Linked DNA regions of Kluyveromyces lactis. The protein of the gene in region 1 interacts with the protein of each later gene in a pairwise test. Links are inferred from orthologs where the notes say so. Each region holds a gene or a part of one and is shown on either strand. Other genes may lie near its edges. The genes, in order: IME4, KAR4 and MUM2.

Evidence for each region.
Region 2: the proteins of IME4 (region 1) and KAR4 interact in a two-hybrid assay, tested with the Saccharomyces cerevisiae proteins (2 studies listed by BioGRID). The link is inferred for Kluyveromyces lactis from reciprocal best matches to the Saccharomyces cerevisiae genes IME4 and KAR4.
Region 3: the proteins of IME4 (region 1) and MUM2 interact in a two-hybrid assay, tested with the Saccharomyces cerevisiae proteins (2 studies listed by BioGRID). The link is inferred for Kluyveromyces lactis from reciprocal best matches to the Saccharomyces cerevisiae genes IME4 and MUM2.

Annotation. Positions count from the first base shown.
Region 1 is NC_006042.1:845,568-849,209, reverse strand, and holds IME4 (mRNA (N6-adenosine)-methyltransferase), read left to right. Parts: upstream 1-1,464; coding exon 1,465-3,039; downstream 3,040-3,642. Other genes in the region: histone deacetylase HOS2, read right to left, coding at 1-743.
Region 2 is NC_006039.1:48,035-51,047, forward strand, and holds KAR4 (Kar4p), read left to right. Parts: upstream 1-1,477; coding exon 1,478-2,449; downstream 2,450-3,013. Other genes in the region: KLLA0_C00671g (uncharacterized protein), read right to left, coding at 1-1,005; KLLA0_C00715g (uncharacterized protein), read right to left, coding at 2,636-3,013. UniProt on the Saccharomyces cerevisiae protein: Component of the MIS complex, a complex that mediates N6-methyladenosine (m6A) methylation of meiotic mRNAs and is required for initiation of meiosis, progression through the meiotic divisions and sporulation.
Region 3 is NC_006042.1:1,720,358-1,723,105, reverse strand, and holds MUM2 (Mum2p), read right to left. Parts: upstream 1,373-2,748; coding exon 560-1,372; downstream 1-559. Other genes in the region: 3-deoxy-7-phosphoheptulonate synthase ARO3, read left to right, coding at 1-98; ubiquitin-specific protease UBP14, read right to left, coding at 2,056-2,748.

The DNA.
Region 1 (3,642 bases):
ACGTTCAATGCAAAATGCTTACCTCTGGAGCAACCTATCTCATCCAAATCACCTGTACCTGGAAAGAATTCGCCGTTATACTTATGGAATGAAACAGTGAACACACGGTCAGTAGTGTAAAACGCTTCCTGTACACCGTCACCATGGTGCAAATCTATATCGATGTATAACACTCTCGGGTGATACCGCAGTAGATTTACTATGGCTAACACGATATCGTTAACGTAACAGAAACCAGATGGATTGTTCTTTTTCGCATGATGTAGACCACCAGACCAATTGATAGCTATTTCACTCTGACCATTAAGTAGCTTTCTAGAAGCATCTAACGATGCCCCAGCATATAAGGCAGCATAATCAAACATTCCTTGGAAGATAGGACAATCGTCACCAATGTTGAATTTCTCGAGTGACCCTCGAGGAAGTTTATTCAATGTATCTGGTGTTACCTTCGCTAAGAAATTGACATAGTCCTCAGAATGAAATTTTGTTAACTCATCCTTTGTTGCTGACCTCGTCTCATATAAGTCCATCACTTTGTGTAACCCGTATGCCGAAACCAAATGGTCGGTAAGCATAAGCCTAAAAGGTTTCATTGGATGCTTGACACCGTAATGATATTGTGATACCTTCGAATTGAAGTGGTACGAGACTCTGGGACTATAGGAAGTCCCAAAATCACAATCAAACAATGGCTTCTCAGCTTCCGTTTTCTCATCAAATTTAAGTGTATCCGATGACATCTTATGAAAAGGATTCCGCTACCACTTACCCGTAATGAATAACTGCCACTCAGCCAGAATTGATACTTGGTAGCTACAATCTGCAAAGAGTTGGGTATTGGCTCGGTCGATTGTCTATTCGACCTTTCCGTACTTTATTTATGTGTTGTTCTGTTATTACTGTATTTTCAAATTCCATGTTTTTTTATTCCAAGTGGATCAGAACCATAAACTCCGTACATCACATGAACCAATCACGTGATAACAACGTATCAAGATGAAGGATGTACCCCACAATTCTAAAGAGAGATCAGCATCGTTGCAGATTCACGTATAATACACTGGTAAAGCCCTTCACTTTCCTGCCAGTTTGGAGCCTGTGTATTCCCCTGTTCACAACGAATTCCTACCTAGATCAAACTCGGATTTGAAAATAAAAAATCCCAGCTTCATCACGAAATACACCATCTTTTTAAGACAGAACCATTGTTAAACGTGGATGGAACTGAGAGGAAAAGCCGGCAATTTATATATAGTTTCATGACATTGTAGGCACAGAAAGTTTGTGAAAGTTGTGGTGATCGAAAAAAATATACGGATTTGTTATATCTTGTCTGGAGCCAGAGATATTGACGTCGGCGGTTGTTTTTTTATTGAGTGGAGTAACAAGGTGAAACGAAACTGAATATAGCTGCGTCTCGAAAGAAATTGTCCGAGCAGTGAAAGGAGTGAAACTGGTATTATGTCTTTGAATTGGGGGTTAGTTGATTTTATGTTGGACAACTATGCGTCCATCACTGCATCCCCGATCAATGGTAGCTTACACGACATTTATGTCATTTATTCCATGTTCATGCAAAATTTCCTATGGAAGAATAACGAATGTGGTGAGACGTATTACCAGTTTTGTGAAGATTTGAATAAAATTTCAGAAGTATGTGGTGGTTGCATGAATTTTGAAGATGATAGTGGCGGGAATATTTTTGGCCAAAAGATTTCATTTGTTGATGGGGACTCCTTGAAAATATTGCAAAAAGTTCATTATGACCAAGCTATTAAATTGTCATTATCACATACTGGCAATAAAGCCAAGCAGATTGCGATCGATAAAGATTCTGTTCAGGTTAAAGAAAGAAAAATTGAAAGCGAACCCATATTATTAAATAAGTTGATGGGCATTTTGGACCAGAGTGAAATTGTAACCCCTAATGCTAAGTGTCTAAGACACTTAAATCAAATCCTCTCGTTAGAACTCGGATCCACTAAGTTATCTAAAGAACAGGCAAAATTAAACACTAAGCGATCACCTTTCATACCAATATGCTCAGATCCGAAACATGTGTCACTACTATCCACCGTCATCAATACTGTTAACAACAAAATCATGTCTTTGCAAGGTGAAAAATTAAAGAAGATTGAAGCTGATTGTCCGGATATTATCGAATGTTCGAACACGCACATTCATTTCATACCAAATTTAAAGCCACAGACGGATCTTTCGTTGGGAGATTGTTCGTATTTGGATACTTGTCACAAGTTAAGTACCTGCAGATACGTCCACTATCTGCAATATTATCCTGAATCTCTCCAAAAACAGAAAATTGAAGAACAAAAAGAGCAACGCAAGCAGTATTCGTTCTATACGCATGGAGAGTGCTGTTCTTCATCGTTTAAGAAGCTTCTTCCTCCACAATGGATCAAATGTGACGTCAGAAAGTTTGACTTCGATATTCTTGGTAAATTTTCAGCCGTTATTGCAGATCCCGCATGGAACATTCATATGAATTTGCCCTACGGTACTTGCAATGATAATGAGTTACTGCAACTACCATTTGATCTCTTGCAGGAAGAAGGTTTATTGTTCTTGTGGGTAACCGGCCGTGCTATCGAAGTAGGGAAAGAATCATTGCAGAATTGGGGTTACGAAGTAATAAATGAAATATCTTGGATCAAGACAAACCAATTAGGAAGAACAATTGTGACAGGTAGAACTGGCCATTGGTTGAACCACAGTAAAGAGCATTTACTCGTCGGGGTCAAAGGCAATCCGGAATGGCTAAACAGAAAAATAGACATTGACTTGATCATTAGCGCAACTAGAGAAACCAGTAGAAAGCCGGACGAATTGTATGGAATCATTGAAAGACTTGTCGGTACACATGCCCGTAAACTTGAAATTTTCGGTAGGGACCATAACATCCGTCCTGGATGGTTCACGATAGGAAATCAAGTGACAGGCTCATCTATCCATGAAGTGGATGTGAAAAGGAAATACGAAAGATTCATGGAAAAATCAAAGAATTCAAAGACAAACTAAAGATGTAATACTCTCTTTACTTCAAATGTCCTAGCTTTTATTTGTCGATACACAGTATCCATTAGGAGTCTGTATGTGTTCCTTCTTACTTTTCTTCTTTTTTTTAATTTATGTCATACGCCCTTGTAATTACAAACGTTACATTACCCACAAGTTCGTGCTACACTTAAGCAGCAATAGGCAATCTTTTGATTTCCATAACCATGGCTGATCCTACGGGCGTTCTATTAGCCAACGCGCTTGTTTTTTGAATTCAATGCAACAAGCTCTCAGCTTAATCTAGCATTCTATATATTAGGAACGGTGTTTCTGTCCACTACACCAACCCCAGCCGGCAAGTCCCTGCAGCAGCTACTAGAATGACATGCGATGGCTCAGGTTTGCTAAAAACCCAAAATCAATTACCGCCAGGCCGTGAAACAAATATTGTTACCCGGACTTGAATTCCTGAACGTCAATATTACACTGTTTGTCAATATGTATAAAGAGATGCAACAGAAACAGAAAATAAAGTAGGAAGTACTTCTGAATCTGTTGCCAGTGTGAACGGTATCGTATGAGCTACTTGTGGGTTTGTAGTCCCGGCGAGACAGCAACACCATT
Region 2 (3,013 bases), on another chromosome or scaffold:
ATCATTCCACAAAGCTACAATTCTTCCACCGCTATATTCAAAAATCCTCACTACTAATTGATAAGCCAATTCTTTTGCCGCTTTATTAAAGTCAGAATTTAAACGCTGAAAGACTGCCCAAAAAAGTGAGTTTTCACTAAAAGTATACCACATAGAACTCAATTTCAATGACCTCAGGTGGTTAGGCAAAGGAACTGCGGAAATATTCAAATCAATTAATAGCTCCTGAAGAAGAAGTATGTTTTCCATCTTTGGCACAATGGCGTCGCATTGTTCTAAAAACAAAAGTGTTATAAATCTGCTATCACCTGATATTAAGTATCCAATAAAAGTCAATGTTCTATGATATAATGTCCCATCCAAATCCTGGATTATTTTCCCAACAATCTCAGTGGTATCTGAAAAAACTTGAAATATCACAGCGAATACCTCTTTGAGATCTCTGGTGGTATTATATTCTGTAATTAATCGCAATAGTGCTATCATTTCATGATCGCTAACTTCTCGAAGCATCGAACAGCAAACGTTCACAAATGTCAAAAACATATCATCATCTAATGTATCCCATAAACTTACCAAAAATTGTTCTTGCAAAATTACACCTGCACTGAATGACTTTGGTACTTTCAGGAAAAATTTTGGTAACCATATCTTGTTGAACTCAAACCTACTCGAAACAGTTTTATAAACTATCTCTTGCATAATTGATCTGCTTTCTGGGTCAAAAGGACCCTTGCTTTTTGTTTCGATATCATGCAAATACTGGAACACAGGGTTTTCACCACCGTTCTGCACAACTACTGCTTCCAAAAAAGCTTCTGATTTTAGAATAGTATCATTGATAACTTGGATTTCTCGAAGTACATTCAAATCTATGACTAAGTTTTCAGTGTACCGTCCAACGTTTTCTAAAAGATCATTAGACTTTTTAGATAGATCTTTTTCCCCAGAAGAGATACTATATAACATGCCAATCTCACTATCGACTGCGTGTATCGTGTGCATGCTCTATATTTTTGAAGATAATACGTTCTCGAACAGGAAATATCAAATGCTGTAATTCAAAACACAGGTCAAACCCAAACCAAACATTTTGTGACAGGAAATTCAAATCTGCTGTTATTCCTAGTGTCTGTTGAACCAAAAGGCTTGACATAAACCTGCGACAGCGAAGAAAATAATTTTTTTCTTTTTTTGTTTTGACGCTTCTTTTTGTCACTGATAGTTTCAGATTGAAACTTTCATTCTAACGGAAAACGCGAACATATGTCAAGAATGAAAATCCTTTATAAACGGCGGCAAAATATTCTTATGAGTAACAATTAAAAGACACATTTCTAGTGCTAGTACAAGGCATCATCTGCTAAAACCCAATTTCACACAGTAGTATTTATACTCATATGGAAAGCACTTTTGTTTCAAGTATACACTTATTTCTAGTACTTTTCTCAGGATAAAACTATAACTGGCTGCTGAAATGTCGGCGGTTTTAGAGGAAATATATCAGAAAAAGGGGAATTCGAGTAAGAGCGTAGCGAGAGAACATGTCACACTTAGGCCTGCAAATGAGTTTCACACGAATGATCATTCAAATAACTATATACATACTGGATCGCTTCCCCAAACCCACGTAAGAAACATTGAGAATACTGTTGATGGATATCCGAAGTTGCAGAGGCTATTTAGCCTGAAGGAAAGGCAGGTAATGCAGTTTAATACAAAACCATTTGGTTGCAAGGTAGAGCTTGATGAAATAGTTCCCACATTAAATGATTGGGTACAAAAAGATGGTTTAACTTTCGATGTTGTCATGATTGGTTGCTTGACTGATAATCAATTTATCTATCCCCTTTTAACTCAGTTACCGATACATAAATTGATATCAAAGCCAGGGTTTTTATTTGTATGGGGAAGTGCACAGAAGATCAATGAGCTTTCAAGACTTTTGAACAACGAAATATGGGCAAAAAAGTTTCGCAGAAGTGAGGAGTTGGTTTTCGTCCCTGTCAACAAGAATTCACCATTTTACCCCGGATTAGAAGCAGACGACGAGTCACTTTTTGAAAAGATGCAATGGCATTGTTGGATGTGTATCACAGGAACAGTAAGAAGAGCCACGGATGGCCATCTCATACATTGCAACATTGATACCGATTTAGCAATCGAATCAAAAAATAGTAAAGTTGGGGCAATTCCGAATCAATTGTACAAGGTAGCAGAGAATTTTAGCACCGCTACAAGGAGACTTCATATCGTTCCCGCCAGAACAGGAAGTGAAACACCAATCCGGATGAGACCTGGTTGGGTTATCATGGGTCCAGATGTACTGCTAGACAACTTCAACGCTATGGAATATAAAAATGAGGTTGGAAGAGTTGGATCGAACCTGCCAAAAGATCCCTCCATAGAGTCATTAAGACCAAAATCTCCAATATCTATTAAAAATTGATGGTATATATAAGCTTGTAATTTCTAATTTGCATTCAGAAGGGCTAAGGTCTTGATTTGAACGAGGCATACGATATGTGTCATGTGTTTTATGTCTAGTCACTGTGGTCATTATCAATACAATCTCCATTCCCAAAATCGGCCGGTTATTTTGAATGAATAAAAACATCAGTTAAAGGCATTTTATTCATTTGAACCATTGTTCAACACCTTCCTTGATTGGAGTCAATAAACCTTTTTGTTTTGGTACATAGTTAATTCTATGGTAAGCGTTCAAATTCTTTCTCAAGACAATTTGGAAACAGGTGGCAGAGCCCTGTCTGGAAATAATAGTGGAGTATGCTAGGAAAAATTCCCAGATTCTGTACCATCTCATCCCATACTTGTTGACAACATCGTCCTTATGGCCAATCCAGTTTCTGTACCATCTCCATAAAGTTGCGGAGTAATCAACACCGATATTATCAATCGAAACGACCTCAAATCCAGTAGCTTCTAATTTTGAAACGACAAAATCTAACGGTGTAGAAGCGTCAGCACCAGGGAAAATATACTTGTTCATGAA
Region 3 (2,748 bases), about 870 kb from region 1:
CTATCACCGATGCCTGTATCGGTTGGGAAACAACTGAAGATGTTCTAAGATTATTGGCAAAGGGTGTTAAAAACAGAAGAGCTCTTTCAAAGGCTTGAATAACAATCACTTTTCCCGCATCGTTTTTGTAATACCTCATAATCTTCTTAAACACACAATCACTTCTTGAAAAGATAGCCAAACTCAGGTAACTGGAAGAATAAACGGCCAACCAATATTTATTTTCCGAGCCTCCTCATGTACATATTACAAGGACAAGTCCGCATACAGTTTATTTAATCAACTAAAATTACTTCACATAAAGGTCTACACTTTGTATGTTCAAGTTTCTCTAATCGTAAGTTTCTAACGTCGGATGAAATAAATATCAATGGTTCATTTACATTTTTGTGTGTCAGCAAAGTATACCTAATCTAGGTAGATGTTATATAGCATACATGTATCTTGAATTACTCTCGAAAGTTTTTAGATCGTCAAATAAAACGTCCAACTAGAATGTCATTGGCAGAAAAAAGCAAAAATATCAGAAAAAGAAGGATCAAGATCTTATACTTTGGTGTTACTTTTCTTGCTGTAGAATCCTTAGTCTTTCTTTGAGTTCTTGGTTTTCTTTACGTAAAAGTTCGAGCTCGATACTTGTCTCCTTCACTCGACCATAACTAAGCATTTTTGCCATTTCTTCGTTTTCCTTCATTAAAGTTTCCAATCGAGTTACCATTTTATGTGCTAAAGCTTCTTCGTCATATCTACCAAACTTTGTAGTAGAATTTGAAGGGTTAAGCGCAACCGCTGTAACTATTCCTTCTAGTCGTCTTTTTGTTTCTTGTAATTCTTGGTCCTTTCTCTTTAATGAATCTGATAACTTACAAAATATTATTTCCAGGGATGCCGGTATCTGGATTTCAGAATCGAAAGTAAGAGCCTTTGATTTCTTCATTTTCTGCTCTTCTTGCTGCTTGAAAGTCAAACCCTGATTGAATACCTCCTTCAATTTTTTTATCTCTATTTCTAACGATTCTATCTGTGTCTCTTTCAACTGTAGTTCAAGTTTGAAGTTGTCTGATGATGGCTCTGTTTCAGAGTCGAAAGTGGTATTGAATCCTGAGCTTTTAGCATATGATGATCTGTCCATTATTACCGTGTTATTTGAAGAGCTTCCAGGATGCGTGTTTGACGAAATGCCTCTCGAGGACTCTATCTCGGGCGAATTATGTTGTTCTATGAGCGGCTGTTCCCAATATGATGACATGCTGCTCCTATGAGTAGAAGATCCGCTCAAATGGCCCTGAAGTCCTTGGTTATAGTGGGAGCCCATACCATCAATGTTCCCATGTAAGCTGAAGCTACCTCCATGTGCCATGCTGGAGTTCATGACATTGGCGGTTGTGCCATACAATTTGGACTCGTCAGAACTACCAAAATTCAGATTGGCGAAAGAGTTATCCAAACTCTGTTGGTTATATTCAGGTTGCTACACGATAACATTGACCTGTTAGTAAAAGGTTAATTATGAGTTAGAAACATTTATAGTCTCAATTTGGTTGTTCCATGTTTCATAGAAAACAGGGACAGACAGAAACAGTATTGATTAAAAATGTGTCATGTAGGCAATCCTCCAATGTATGCAAAAACTTACGTAAGACATATATCCGTTTGAATTCATGGTTTTAAAATAACTTATGGTTTGTTGATCGTTTTTGGAAGATTGTGTGACTACTTACTTGGTAACAAGTGTTCTGTCACTGGTAAATAATTGATCTAGTTTGCTTTATTTTTAAGGGCAGATCTGACATGTTTCATTTTCAGGGAATCATGAAGCATATTCACGTGACTTGCAATGGCTGGACACAACTGCCTCCAGACAGGAACCGCTATAAATAGGAATAAGCCCACCATACTGTATTGAATTGAGTCATGTACGAGGATATATATGTATATATGGACACACAACCATATCGTTGAATACCCAATGCAGATAGGAAGGTGGGCAAGTCCTATTTTTTTAGAGTTTCATGTTGTGATGCATGTCTCTTTTATTTAGAGAGGAGATGCCTCTTATTCTTCAAGGTTGAAGAAAAACATGTAGCCATTCTTTTCTATGTCCTCGAAATTTGGTTCATCGTTGGCCAAGAGAATTTTTTCATCGTTGTAGAGAACCCATTGTTCTTTTCCTTCGACCACTTTCTTAATAAATGCAACGTAATGGCCACTGTGAACTGAATTACCTTTATGGCATATGACAGCAGTCAGTTTATACTTAGCAGAGGCAATTGACGATGCTGGGATTCCAAAACTTTTTCTGGATTGATCCTTCCATTCCTCAGCTTCAGGTAACTCCCCGTCGTCATCCATATGGGAGAAAACCCATTCTACACTGGCATTGACGTCACCATTCTTCAATATCAAAGCTTTGCGGCATAGTTTCGAATCAAGCCCCATAGCAGTCATACTGTTTAGTGCTTCTGAATCGACACGATTTTTCGCTGAGGATGAAGCATGAGGATCAAAGGCCTCGTTTAAGTTAGGGTCCTCCATATGCTGGAACAACCATTCCGTGGCTGCATTAGGGTCAGAGTTTCCCGTTTCAAATAATGCTCTTTTGGTAGCATTGCGAGAGAATCCCATCTGTTCTAATTGTCCTAGGAACAATTCGTTGAATTGGAAGGAATCTGATTCCTCTTCTTCTTCGACTTCTTCCCCTTCGCAAATTCCTGTAGCTTTGAATGGGGACATATCTAGTAAAGCATC